Yarrowia lipolytica: one gene and its partner. The protein of the gene in region 2 purifies or fractionates together with the protein of the main gene of each other region. This does not show direct contact. Links are inferred from orthologs where the notes say so. Each region holds a gene or a part of one and is shown on either strand. Other genes may lie near its edges. The genes, in order: YALI1_D15692g and YALI1_F09996g.

The links.
Region 1: the proteins of YALI1_F09996g (region 2) and YALI1_D15692g purify together in Saccharomyces cerevisiae (affinity purification with western blotting; 5 studies listed by BioGRID, with this or other methods). This does not show direct contact. The link is inferred for Yarrowia lipolytica from reciprocal best matches to the Saccharomyces cerevisiae genes VPS13 and SPO71.

The regions. Positions count from the first base shown.
Region 1 is NC_090773.1:1,564,391-1,571,535, forward strand, and holds YALI1_D15692g (uncharacterized protein), read right to left. Parts: upstream 4,878-7,145; coding exon 516-4,877; downstream 1-515. Other genes in the region: YALI1_D15622g (uncharacterized protein), read left to right, coding at 1-199; YALI1_D15696g (uncharacterized protein), read left to right, coding at 5,235-7,145. UniProt on the Saccharomyces cerevisiae protein: Recruits the lipid transfer protein VPS13 to the prospore membrane during sporulation, thereby aiding prospore membrane formation.
Region 2 is NC_090775.1:997,832-1,002,911, reverse strand, and holds the start of YALI1_F09996g (uncharacterized protein), read right to left. Parts: upstream 3,269-5,080; coding exon 3,227-3,268; intron 3,176-3,226; coding exon 3,083-3,175; intron 2,640-3,082; coding exon 1-2,639. Other genes in the region: YALI1_F09965g (uncharacterized protein), read right to left, coding at 4,318-5,080.

The DNA of each region.
Region 1 (7,145 bases), on a different chromosome or scaffold from region 2:
GTTCTTGCAAGCCACGATTGTTCGTGTCATGAAGGCTCGAAAGACTCTCAAGCATACTGCGCTGGTTCAGGAAACCATTGTGCAGTCCAAGAAGCGGTTCCACCCCAAAATTGGCGAGATCAAAAAGGTGATTGACGATCTGATTGAGAGAGAGTATCTGACCCGAATCGAGCAGGACAAGTACGAATACGCTGCATAAACTGTTTCTGCGTTTGGCACAGTTTTTGATAAACGTGTTGCACGGCATTGTGCACGATAATGTTTCTGGTATTGCGTTGTATGGTGGCACCATGGTAAATGTTAGCATCTGTTCTGTGGTGGTGTCAAGTCATTCAAGTACAAGTAATATCCAATAGATGACTGTAAGAAATGTTTTAAGTTTAATACAAGCGTAAAACAGGTGAAAAACGGTAGAAGATCAGGTACAAAGTCTTCTCTACATGAGTGCCGATACATACAAATCGGTATCTAAGCCGGCTGTATAATCAAAGTATTAGTAATATAATGCTAGTGGCCTAATTAACAATGTTGATATCAGCAAAATCCGGTTCCACCAGCTTTTCGATTTCATGCGACAGTGCCATAACCCACTGTTCCTTCTCCTGTCGAGAACGGGCCACAAAAATGTACCGATGGCCACTGACACCCAGTCGATTGACGGTTCGCAGCTTGGTGGCAGAATTTGTAGTCACGGCCTTCTTTCGAGGGAACCACAAAATGATGCATCGCAGAGTCTCACTCTCGGCAGACTTCCACCCGTCCTTGTACATGCGAGGTACCACCTTGTCCGAGCTGAGATCGCTCATTTCGTCGCGGGTCAGAATATCTGACTCCGCAATGTTGCCGGAGTACACGTAGGCCTCCTTGAGAGGGATGTCTCTGAATCTCTCGTAGTCCACCTTGTCCATAGGGATACCTCCGAGCGTTCGTCTGTAAACGTCATAGAGAATGAGATGTCCATGGCACAGGACCGCGTAGTACAACTTGAATGAGCCATGGGTCCGTGTCTTATGGTACAGCATACCCTTCATGATGATTGAACGGGACCACGAGATACCTGAAACATTGTACAGCGTAGTAGAGGCTGAAGCACGGGCGGTTTCCCACTTGGGAGACGACTCTCCAATAGCTGCATCTAACTTATCGTCAATGTAGAGACGTTTCATGTTGTTTGTTCGGAAGTCGGCAGATACTTGCAGCTGGTTTTGGGCCACCACTTTCCAATAGGCAATGAGATCCCTGAGCTTGTTGACCCACAAGTTTCGACAGTGCGAGTTGTAGGCCTGTAGACGCACGATAAGACCGTTTTCCATCACCAACTCAAACGTCTTGTGTTCGTCGAAAGAATCAACCTCGCCGTCTTCTCCTCCCAGGCCCTGAGACGTGCTTCCATGGAGAATTCGAGAGCCGTCAAAGTCCACATTGTTGTCTTCGTTACCAATACTGTCGTCGATGTCCTCCTGGCGTTTGGTAGCACGAACTTGGACAACTTCAAGGAGGTTGATGAACCCATCAGCCTTGATTATCTGAGCGGCCCGTCTCTGCATGTTGTGCAGAGCAATGGAATCCTTCTTTTGAAACTCCGACTCGGTGATACCTGGTTTGAGCCACTTGATGATAGGAGTGCCCTTCATCTCACCGGTGCCCTCCTCAGACTTGAACGGGGCAATCTCGTACACCCACTCCCGCTGTTCCTCATTGTAGGCTTCCTGGCATTTGAGATCTTCGTCGGGAAGAGGAAGAATGGCATTGCCGGGCTTGGCAAAGAAAAGAAAGTAGTCATGGGTGGAAAAGTACAGGTTCTTGTAAAGAAGCTTACCGAACGAGTTCTTTTTGGAGGAGAAGGCGCCTCCTAGCTGTCCATTCCAAGACTTGAGACGCACCAGATGACCCTCAATGGGGGTGGGCTCCACCAACTCCTCTCCCTTGATTGTGATTTTGTCACCGTAATGTTCTTTGACACGCAACTCCAAGTCGTGCGTTCGGTTGAGGGCCCAGGAACCATGCAACTCCTGCTCTCCAAAGCCCTGGACCCACTCTAATCGGTCGTATCGACGCCATCCAAGACCGACTCGCTTATTATTCACCCAGTCATCAATGGTGCTTTTAAATCGTGGGTTTTCAGCCAGAGCCTTGAGCGCCTTCTCAGTAATGTATTGGTGAGCTCTGGCGGTGAGAACAGCACCTCGGCCTGACTTTCTTTTGGCAGCCATAAGATTTCTAGAAATGTACTCGTCGATAAGTCGGAACTTGCGCCAAGAGACCCGAACAGTTACAACCACAGCCAGATCAGGCACTCGCACATGCATGTCCTTGTCTCGTCGGGCACCCAGAATTTCGGAGAAGAATGCAAACCACCGAATGGACGAGTAGGCTGAGCGAGCCCGCAGAATGTAGATGACAGTCTCACGCTTGCTGGTGTACCACAGGGCGATGGTCTTATCCAGAGATGAATACAGCGACACATTGACATGCTTGCCAAGTGTCAGAAACATTTTGGCGCCAGTCTTACCCTTGGTCACCTTCTCAACAGCCTTGATGGATCGGGACGAATAGAATTGCAGCGAGATCGGGTTCAAGGGGTCACCTGTGCTTCGAGCAACAACAATGTACTCTCTCCATCGTTCCAACATTCGAGTGTCCCCTGTTTCTGTCTCGTTGAAGTCTTTAGGTAGATGCAGAGCTGGACTGGTCTTGACCATAACTAACATCTTCTCGATCCGCACAATCTCTCCGGCGGATTTTTCTCTCAAAAACCTCCAGTTTTTGACCGTAGCGTCTCGAGTACGCGAAGACTTGTCTTTCATCTTACCAGCGACATTCTTTGCCCGGTTCATGAAGTTTTCCTGAAACTGAAGGTAGTAGTCACTCTGAGAAGGTCCCGCATTGGCAGCGGCGATAGTAGCAGGAGTCATGACTTCAGCACCCCGCGGTTCGTTACCATGACGAAGACCGGTATGTGGAACAGTAGGATCTCCGTCTTCTTTGACCTCATCAGGCTCTTGACCTTCAGGTCCCTCTGGAGCTTCAGCTACCTTTGAATCATCAATCACCTTTTCAGTGGCATCGGAGATTTGGCCGTTGTTTCCAAAGTCGTCAGATCCGTCCATCAACTGTACGTTCTCAGGTAGACTATCCTGTTCCTGAAGCTCGGGTAGCTTCTGTTCTTCTTTCCAGCGCAGCTTTTGACCGGGTGTGAGACCACTGGGACCAGAAAACTTCACCTTGGAAGCAGAAGTTAAAGATGAGGGCGCAGGAGCTTGCTGGAACCCCTTTCCCTTGAGCACATCTGCGCGATTGGGAGCCATCAAGATGGATTTGCCCTTGTGGTCTTTCTTCGAAACGTCATAGCCACGGAGTGTAGGCTCATTGTCTGCGTCCAGATCTGAATCAAACTCCTCGGACAAGCTATCAGCATCAGACATGTTTGTCTCGCCTACGGCATCCAATGGTGCCAAACTCGATTCGGCCGAGTGGAATGAATCGATCGTGCCCACCGAACCAACAGCATGGGAGGTATCTGACGTTTGAGACGACGTTTGGGTAAAAAGAGGGACGTCTGAGGCGGAAGAACGACCCTCAGAGCCCAGATTGTAGGGTGCAGTAGATGCACGTTGCAGTTTTGGAGGCATCTCTAGTGGTCCAATGCCATTTTCCTTCTTGATATCGGAGGAGGCTTCGTGGTTGGGCCCACTGTACTTTCTCAAAGAATGCAATGCAGAGCCATGGGGCTGTTGAGACATGACACCCACAGGTTCCCTGTAAGATGTACCGTCCGGATCGTCACTATTGTCGTTCTTCTTTTCGCTAGAGTGGTTCACTGCATTGCCGCTAAAGTCTCTGACCTTGATACCAGGTGGAGCTGTGTGTGGACTAGAAGGATGTTCTCGTTTGCTAGAACCAAATCCAGGAAGTTTCACAATGGGTACAGACATGTCGATTGTTTCGGGTATGCAATCTGGAAGATCCATTTCCTCCTCGTAGTCACTATCTGTCATGATCCCCTTTCCCTTTGAGTTTGATCTTGCTCGTCGTAAAAAAGTTCCTCTTCTTCTGGAAGAAGGAATAGAAGACTGGGCGTTGAGCTGGTCGGAAAACGTACCTGTGCCTCTCCTAGGCAGCTCTGGTGTTGTTCTACCACGAGAAAATCGCGACCCCTGGAAAGACCCGTGTTCCTTGACACTGTGGTTGAATGTCTTTGATTTGTCACGCGAACTAGAGCCCACCTCGTCCCACTTTGTGCGTCCAAAGAAGCTCTTTTTCCTTCTTTGAGCGCTTAGAAACCTATCGGGATCCACGTCAGACTCCTCGGACTCCTCCTCCTCTCTTGCATCCAAGGGCAAATGGGGGTCTGAAGGAGGCTCGAGCTCAGAATCAGTCATGTCTGTCGCACTGGAATCGTACATCTCCATGAGCTCCTCCAACAGATCGTCACCGTTCTTGTTGAGCTTGGAGATAAGCATCTTTTTGGGCTTGGACAGCGCATTCAGGGGGTTTCCAGGGAACACCTTCGAAGTGAGCTTGAAGAAGGGACCTAGAGAAGAACCGGCGTAGTACCTCATGACCTTATCTGGGGGTTGTTCAATCCACTCCTTGGCCAGAGGCCCCACCACCTGCACTCTCGACGACCGGTCCATATGGTCTGGGGTCGAATACTCCATTCGAAACACCGTGTATGAGTTTAGGGGCACCTCATTGTACACCCACTCATTGTACTTTTGGCGCACCGAGTCGAGGTTCTCGTAGTCTGCCAAAAGATCCACCTTGCCCTCCATGGGATGAGCTCGGCGGCCCTTCAGAAACGGCAGGCCCTTGTCGTCGTCAGGCACGATTTGGGGCGCACGTGGTGAAGCAGCCGTTGATCCATCCATTGACATGCGTCTGAGTTAGTAACTAGAGGAACCTGTGGAGTAGGTCTGGGTGTCAGCCACATGATCACGTGACATATGACAGGCTTGCAACTCTCCTTTCCTCGCAAATCTCTCCCTCTTCTCACACTCACTCGTTTCTTGATGTATATGCTGCCCTGTTTCCAACACTGCCTAGGTTTGCTCGGCTCGTACAAGACTAGTTGCGCTGCAAGTTTATGCATGCCAGTCTTAGTAGAGTTCAGCGTGGAACATAACTGAGCGATGCGATGTGCATCAAGACCCAATATCCATCAGAGCACCACATCTAATGCCCCACAAGAGACACATTGAAACCACTCTAGACACTCTTCACAATGCCACACGATGAACGACTCCATTGAAAATCTCAACAACCTGCTTCTTTTGGGCGTCATATTCGTCACAGGACACCCGAAACTGCCCTGTGAAGGCGAATCAGCCCCAGACGGCTGGAACTGGCCCCCATCGACCTGGTTTCGACTCACAAACCTGTCGGTACCCTTGAGGGAGCTGAGATATTTGTACGACACTAAAGCGATTCGAGTGACATGCACTTCGACGCCTCTCAAACAACTTCTATCCCTGAGAATCTATCTGGTGCCAGAAGAACTAAGAGTCAAAACCCAACCCAAGCACCTGTACTCGTTCGCCCTCCAACATATGCACGATAAGCGAAAGTCGGCAATCAGCCGCTTGATACCCTTCTTCTACATACCAGGAAAACAGACACCCATCGTTCCCTTCTATAGAACCAGTCTGGGAGTCATCACAAAGATGGTAACCTCGGAGGAACGGCTCAACAGCTGGCTTAGTCATCTGTGCAATGATCCTGCCAAAAAGACGGCAAGCAGGGACGAGCTGGAAAGTGGCAAAAATCTTCTCATGAGTCTTTACGAGTCTGTTGACTTTGTGCCTCAGTATGACCTTTCTGATCCGCATGTTGATGCGGTATTCAGTGGCCATGTCGACAACCTCAAGTCAGAGCTGTACCCTTACCAGGCAGAAACAGTCTCACAAATGATGCACATGGAGGAAACCCCTAGGACGGCTGTCAGCGCGAGGTATTTGTCGGTAAAGGGTTTCTTTTTCCATCCAGAAGATTTGGTGGCTCGCAAGGAGTTACCCGAAACCACCGGCTTGTCTCGAGGAGGAATTCTGGCGGAAAATATGGGTCTTGGAAAGACGTGCATTTGTTTAGCATTGATATGTGCCACTCGAAAATCGATGGCAACTGTACCTGCTCAGTATAGCGATACTCTGTCTGAAACGATGATGAAGCTACCGGGCAATGGCAAGATTTCTCAGCTCAAAGTGCTGGTGGCTCAAAGGGTGGCTGAACTAGGAGCTCCTTGGGGTCTCTACGCAGACCGTCTCTCTTCTTCGTGTGTTGCAGTGCTCTCTTCCATCAGATGTACTTTTCTCATGCCTGATATTCCCCGTGTGCGAGTGAGTAGTCGTACAGCCGCTTCACGCGAGCAAAAACCGCCTAGGCGTATCCATCTGTCAGCTACTACGCTTCTTGTTTGTCCAGACTCGCTACCGTTCCAGTGGCTCACTGAGACCAAGAAGCACACGGAGAATCTCAAGGTGATCCATGTCAGTTCTGTGGACAAGGCTCCTGATCTGGACACTGTTCTTGACGCCGATTTGGTGATCATTACTAACAGTATCTTGAAGGAGGTGTTCTCCAACCCAGCATGTTCACACATTCAGGACATTAGGTGGAAACGGCTGATTGTAGATGAAGGTCACGTGGTTGGAAATAACAACTCCATTCTGGACATTTGTGGGCAGGAGTGGATTGCTGAGTGTCGATGGGTCGTCTCAGGAACGCCTACAGCCGGATTGACGCGTCTAGACACAACGACTCTGTTCGACCACAAGTCCGATCTTCAGAAACTGGGCCGAATAATGGGTGAGTTTCTCAAGATTGAACCGTGGAGTTCGAGCCCTAGCTCGTGGCAGCAGTCGGTCGTGAAGCCTCTTCTAGCTGGTCGGTACGACGGCTTTGAGCACGCTGTCAGGGTCTTGTCTGGAGTTCTAGTGCGTCATCAGATTGAAGACGTGGAGCAAAGCACAAGGCTACCGCCCCTCTACAATGACGTGGTCTTTTTGAATCCCTCATTCTACGACCGAATTATCGCGAACCTCTATGTCTCCAATATCTGTCTGCTCAACTTGGTTGATGAAAAGAAGTTCGGTTTGAAAAATCTTCTCCGTCGACTCAGAGGAGCCTTCGTGGTCTCCACCAATTAT
Region 2 (5,080 bases):
GACTCGATAAACGATTCGACATGGAACACAGCCAGATTGAAGTCCACGTACATGTTCAGCTCGGTGGTAGCCACGTAGACGTCAAACTGGCCCAAAGTCCAGTCCACTAGCGGCTCCTCCTCCAGAGTGTCCCAGTTTGTGCACTTTCGCAGTGACAACAGACACGTGTCGACCTTGAAAAAGAACTCAAACTGCTTCTGCTTGAGCTGTGGGGCGCTCATCTTGGCAATGGCAGAGGCCTCCTTCTCCTCCTTCTCCTTCTCCTTCTCCTCGTTGTCGTTAATATCAGAGTAATACTGAGAATCTGACCGTCTTAGGAAAATATCATGAGAGGGAGTGTCCGAGGGACTGGAGTCCGTGTTAGGGATGGCCAGATCGATGAACTTCATCAGAAGCTTGTACCGAGCATCAGAAAGAGATGCTTGGAACTTGGGGAGCTCTCCGGATACTCTGATCTTAGACAGGTGGGTAGCGTCAGGAACAATCGACACCTCCAGCAGAAACTTGAGGTTGATCCGGTCGATCACGTAATTAGGCGAGTGCTCCACCAGCATATCTCCTACCGCGTCCTTCATGTTCGATCCAATCAACAGCTGCGTGTTGAACAGCTCAATGTTGAACTTGTCGTACATGAGAACCTTGAGCCGGTCCCAGTCGGCCTGCGAGTACTGCTGCGACGCCTTGGATTTGACCTGGTCAATGAGCTTCTTGTCGGCGAGGTCTGACTTGATTTTGATCTGACCAGCGTCGATCAGCAGACACGGCGACTCCTTATTGGTGATGTCCAGAGGCATGACAATCAGAGGAGCAGCCAGATCCAGCTGTACGTCGATCGTCTTATGTTCCTCCAGGGCGTATTCAAGTCCGATACGAGTCTTGGCCTGGAACTCCTCCACAGTCGTACCAGCCACACTCATAAGCGCAGTCAGGGTCTCCTGATGGTTGTCGGCGGGCTTGAAAAACAGAATCACCTGTTCAACCAACTTGACGTTGTAGATGATGTTCAGAGCCTTCATCTTACCGCTCAAACACGAATCAGCATGACCGTCCAGAGGATTGTTCTCGAAAGTGAGGTCCAGAAAGTTGCCTGCAGTGGCTGTACCCATCTGAGCAAGCTGCTTGCCGGAAACAATGCGCGGGAAAGCAGATCCGACTGTGGAATCGTCCATGAACATGTCGCCAACGCCAATGTCACCTGCGAACGAGTCGATTCGCTGTGAAAAGGCTGCAAACAGGTCCGTGAACTCGACCTTGGCAATACCGGACTTGGCGTTACGTTGGTCTCGAGACAACTGAAGAGAACCGGACTTGAGAGACGCGTCAAGACGCATCATGGTAACGTCCTTGGGTACGTCAAACGTATCGTTAGGAGACTTCTCCTCGTCCCACCCAATGGTGTCGTACAACTCCTTCTTCTGGTCGTCTGTGAGCACCACTGGGGGCTTCTCAGCCTTCTCCTTGTCGTCTGCAGTGCCCCACATCCACGAGAACCAGCCCTTCTTCTCATCCGGCTGCGCGGACTTCTCGAACAGCTCTGGCTTCTCCTCCTTGAGCTCCTTGGTCGCTAGAGACCGATAGAACCGCAAATCTTCGTACGACAATTTCATCTCGAGCTTGTCAAATTTAGTAGTGTCCGTCAGGGTACCCTCCAACTTCTGCTTGTACAGCTTGATGTACTCTCGTCGGTCGTCTCGACGGCCCTTGATGTAGTCCCAGCTCCAGACTTTGTTCTTGTCGTGGATCTCCTGCAGCACCGCTTTGATGGCGTACTGGAACCACTCGCGGGGGTTATCCTTGGCATGCTTGGCGTCCTTGGGCTTCAGAGCTCGGTACTTCAGTGTTTTGTAGTACAGCTGAAACTCTGAGGCCGTGAACAGTACGTCTCGGTATTGCAATGAGTCGAAGATGAAACCCAGCTCCTCGAACATGAGCTCAATCTTCGTCTTGGGTGTTGTCTTGGTTATGGCACCCTTGTTCATCGTCACCTTGCCCACTCCAGACACGGGACGCAAAATGTACTGGTGCGAGTCACTGAGAGCGTTGGACTCTGCAGCAATCAGCGCCTTGAAGGCTTTGATGAATTCTTCGTTGTCTAATGGCGCCAGACTAGCGGTGTCCGAGTTCCAGTACATGGACAAAGAACCCAGACGGGCCAACTTGTTGGCGATAGCTCCTCCTTGAATAAACGCGGGCTTCCAGTCTTGGTCGGTACTGATGGCCGAAAGCTCCTCCAGAGTGACTCCCATGGCAAACTGCTGTTTGGTGAACTGGTTCACGTCTTCGTATCGCACGTGAATGTTCTTGATGGTAATCTGCAGGTTGTCGATGATTTTTGTAGTGAGTGACTCGGAAAAGCTCTGGTTACGCTTGATTTCGTCCGAAGACAGCGCGGGGTTGTCTTCGTTCGACTGGTCCATAAGCTCGGCAGCCTCCAGTTTTTCTCGCTTGGCTGCCAGCTCTCGTTTGGCCTCTTCTTCCGGATCAATCTTGTCCTGCTGTCGAGCCACCGCAAGGATGAAGACATTGTCGATTGTGATTTTCACCGGCTTGTTCTTAAGGTTGGACCATGGAATCTGAATGGTTAATTCTCCTAAATGCCCGTGTACGACGTTGACTGGGAGGTGGAATTGGTCGAGGGCCTGGGTTAGTAATGGAAGCGTAGCTCGTGAGTGAACGGTATCTGGTTTGGTTGTGCTAAGCTGGACCACAGCAGCCAAAGCACTGATCTTCAAAACAAAAGAAAATTCCAACGTTTTGGTGCCATTCCAATCAAATCTACCCCTTGGTGGCAACAGGCGGTCTAGACCAGACTGGTGTCCAGAAGTAAACACAGGAAATAGAGTACCAAAGCGGAGCACAAGGGTTCTTTGCAAACATTATCACAAAATAATACTCCATTGATCCACAATGCTTCCATTTCTCTTGACGTGTCCTCCACAAAGTTGTCTGCATCCCTTGGATATGCTGATTGCTCTTGTGAATCCTCGTTGTGTCGTCGTAATTCAATCAAATCCGGGCCGATTGTCGCCATTTTTCTCACAGAATCACATCCCTCCCTTCCAATCTCATTCCTCGTACTCACCTCTTTCTTCAAGGCCAGATCTCTCAGCTTGATATCTCCACTCCATACACTGATGTTCAATTGATTAGGGTCGAAGTTGCGGACGTATGAGCCCTGGGTTAGTCATTTGCTCAGCGGGGCCATGTCGTGCTTGTCAATACTCACCAACACACGATTCAGGATCGTGGCAACCAACGATTCCAGCATTTTTGTGGGGGGTTGTAGTGCCAGGTTTGAACAGTCTCTTGCTGTCGTTGGGTTGCTTCGTTTAGAGTTGTGCTGCACCATACATGCACCCTGCTGTACAACCCAATATGACGCCTCGTGTTCCGGTAGAAGGTGTGAATATGAGTGACAAAGTGGTCTTTGGATGATTTCTGCGCCGACCTTCATTTCCGTCGTTGTTTTATTCTTTGGAATTAATGTCAGTCTGTTGGAAATCTCCCCAAACTGTATCTGAAACTGCACAGCCTCGCACATCAGAGTTATTCACACCTACGAGTTAGGGGGACTGCTACTGGCTGTATATATAATATTCATACAATAACCACGACCCGTATTCTGGTGCCAGATACCAGTACAAGTAATCTTGTCTGAATTCAAGAGACTAGTAAAGCTATTTATAGAGCACCGCAGCCATCGAGAGCCAAGCACAAGCTCCATCACATATCTTGCAAGTACAGTACACTGCAAACAAGTACAAGTACAAGTTCCTATGTACAAGTACAATTCCCTGAAACTTTTCTTCACTTGATATCGCCTGCAGGCAGCTTGAATCACTTACTGGAGAGATATATTATGTCAGTGTTTATGATAGTCCTTTCTATGGTGCCTAAACAAGTGGCATATATCACAGGTCATTCATACGGACATTTCAAAGTGTAAAATGATGACACGAAAAGCTCTTTTTCAAAAGAAACCGGTTCCATACATGAAATTGATTGTCCATTCACCTATACAAATACTTCTACGCTTTACAATTACAAGTACAAGTAGGCTACATTATCCAACCCAAGTTGCATACTGTGCTGTAGGTGCGAGTCTAGAAGTCCAGAAACAGAATGCACTGAACCGCATGTTACCCTTCTACCGCCTCTACAAACAATACGCTTGATGCCGTTCTACCCATCTAAACTCGTGCACAACACCATGTCTATGATATTCTCTATATGGTATACAACCTGAATCCACCACAGTGTACTTGATTCGGAGCTTGGTTAGTGTGCTCCGTGTGTGTAACATCGCTTCATACGACATTATACCGGAGGTTGAGGGAAGTCCCGCTTGGGAGACCCAACCACACTGTTTCCTCGTCGGGGACTTCCGACCACACTGCCTCCTCTCGAGCTGGGAGCGGAGCCATAGCCCTGCATACCAGCAGGCAGTCGATCGGTGGCAGCATCAGTATAACTGTGAGGCACGTCAGGCTCTGGAGTGTCTCGATCACCAAGCAAAGACCGCGAGTCGGGGGTGTTCACAACAGACTTGTCGCCGAACAACGAGTCCATGTCTTCCAAGTTGATTCCCGAGGTCTCCGGGTAGGTGAAGTAGACGAGAACAAACGAAAGACTACAGAAGGCGGCATGCATCAAATACAGTCGCCACTTGATGGTCTCCTGGAGAATGGGGGTCATATATCCCACCAGCCAGTTAAAGGCCCAGTTGGTGGCGGTTGACAGAGAAGCTCCCTTGGCTCGGATGGTAAGAGGCATAATCTCAGGGGGATAGAGCCAGGGAATGGGGCCCCACGAGTATCCAAAAGCAGCGTTGAAGATGACGACGGAAATCACCACCAGAGCCGGTGTATGTGCAAAGTCTAGACGCATCCAGAACGCCACAGACGCCAGGGAAATAGCCATAATTACTGCACCGGACAGAAGAATAGGTCTTCGGCCCCATTTGTCCACGAGGTACCACGGGGGAATAGTGGAACACACGTAGACGATACCGTTGATACCGGTCATGAGAATAGCAGACCGTCCGACCCATCCTGCCTCTTCAAACACCAGAGGAGCGTAG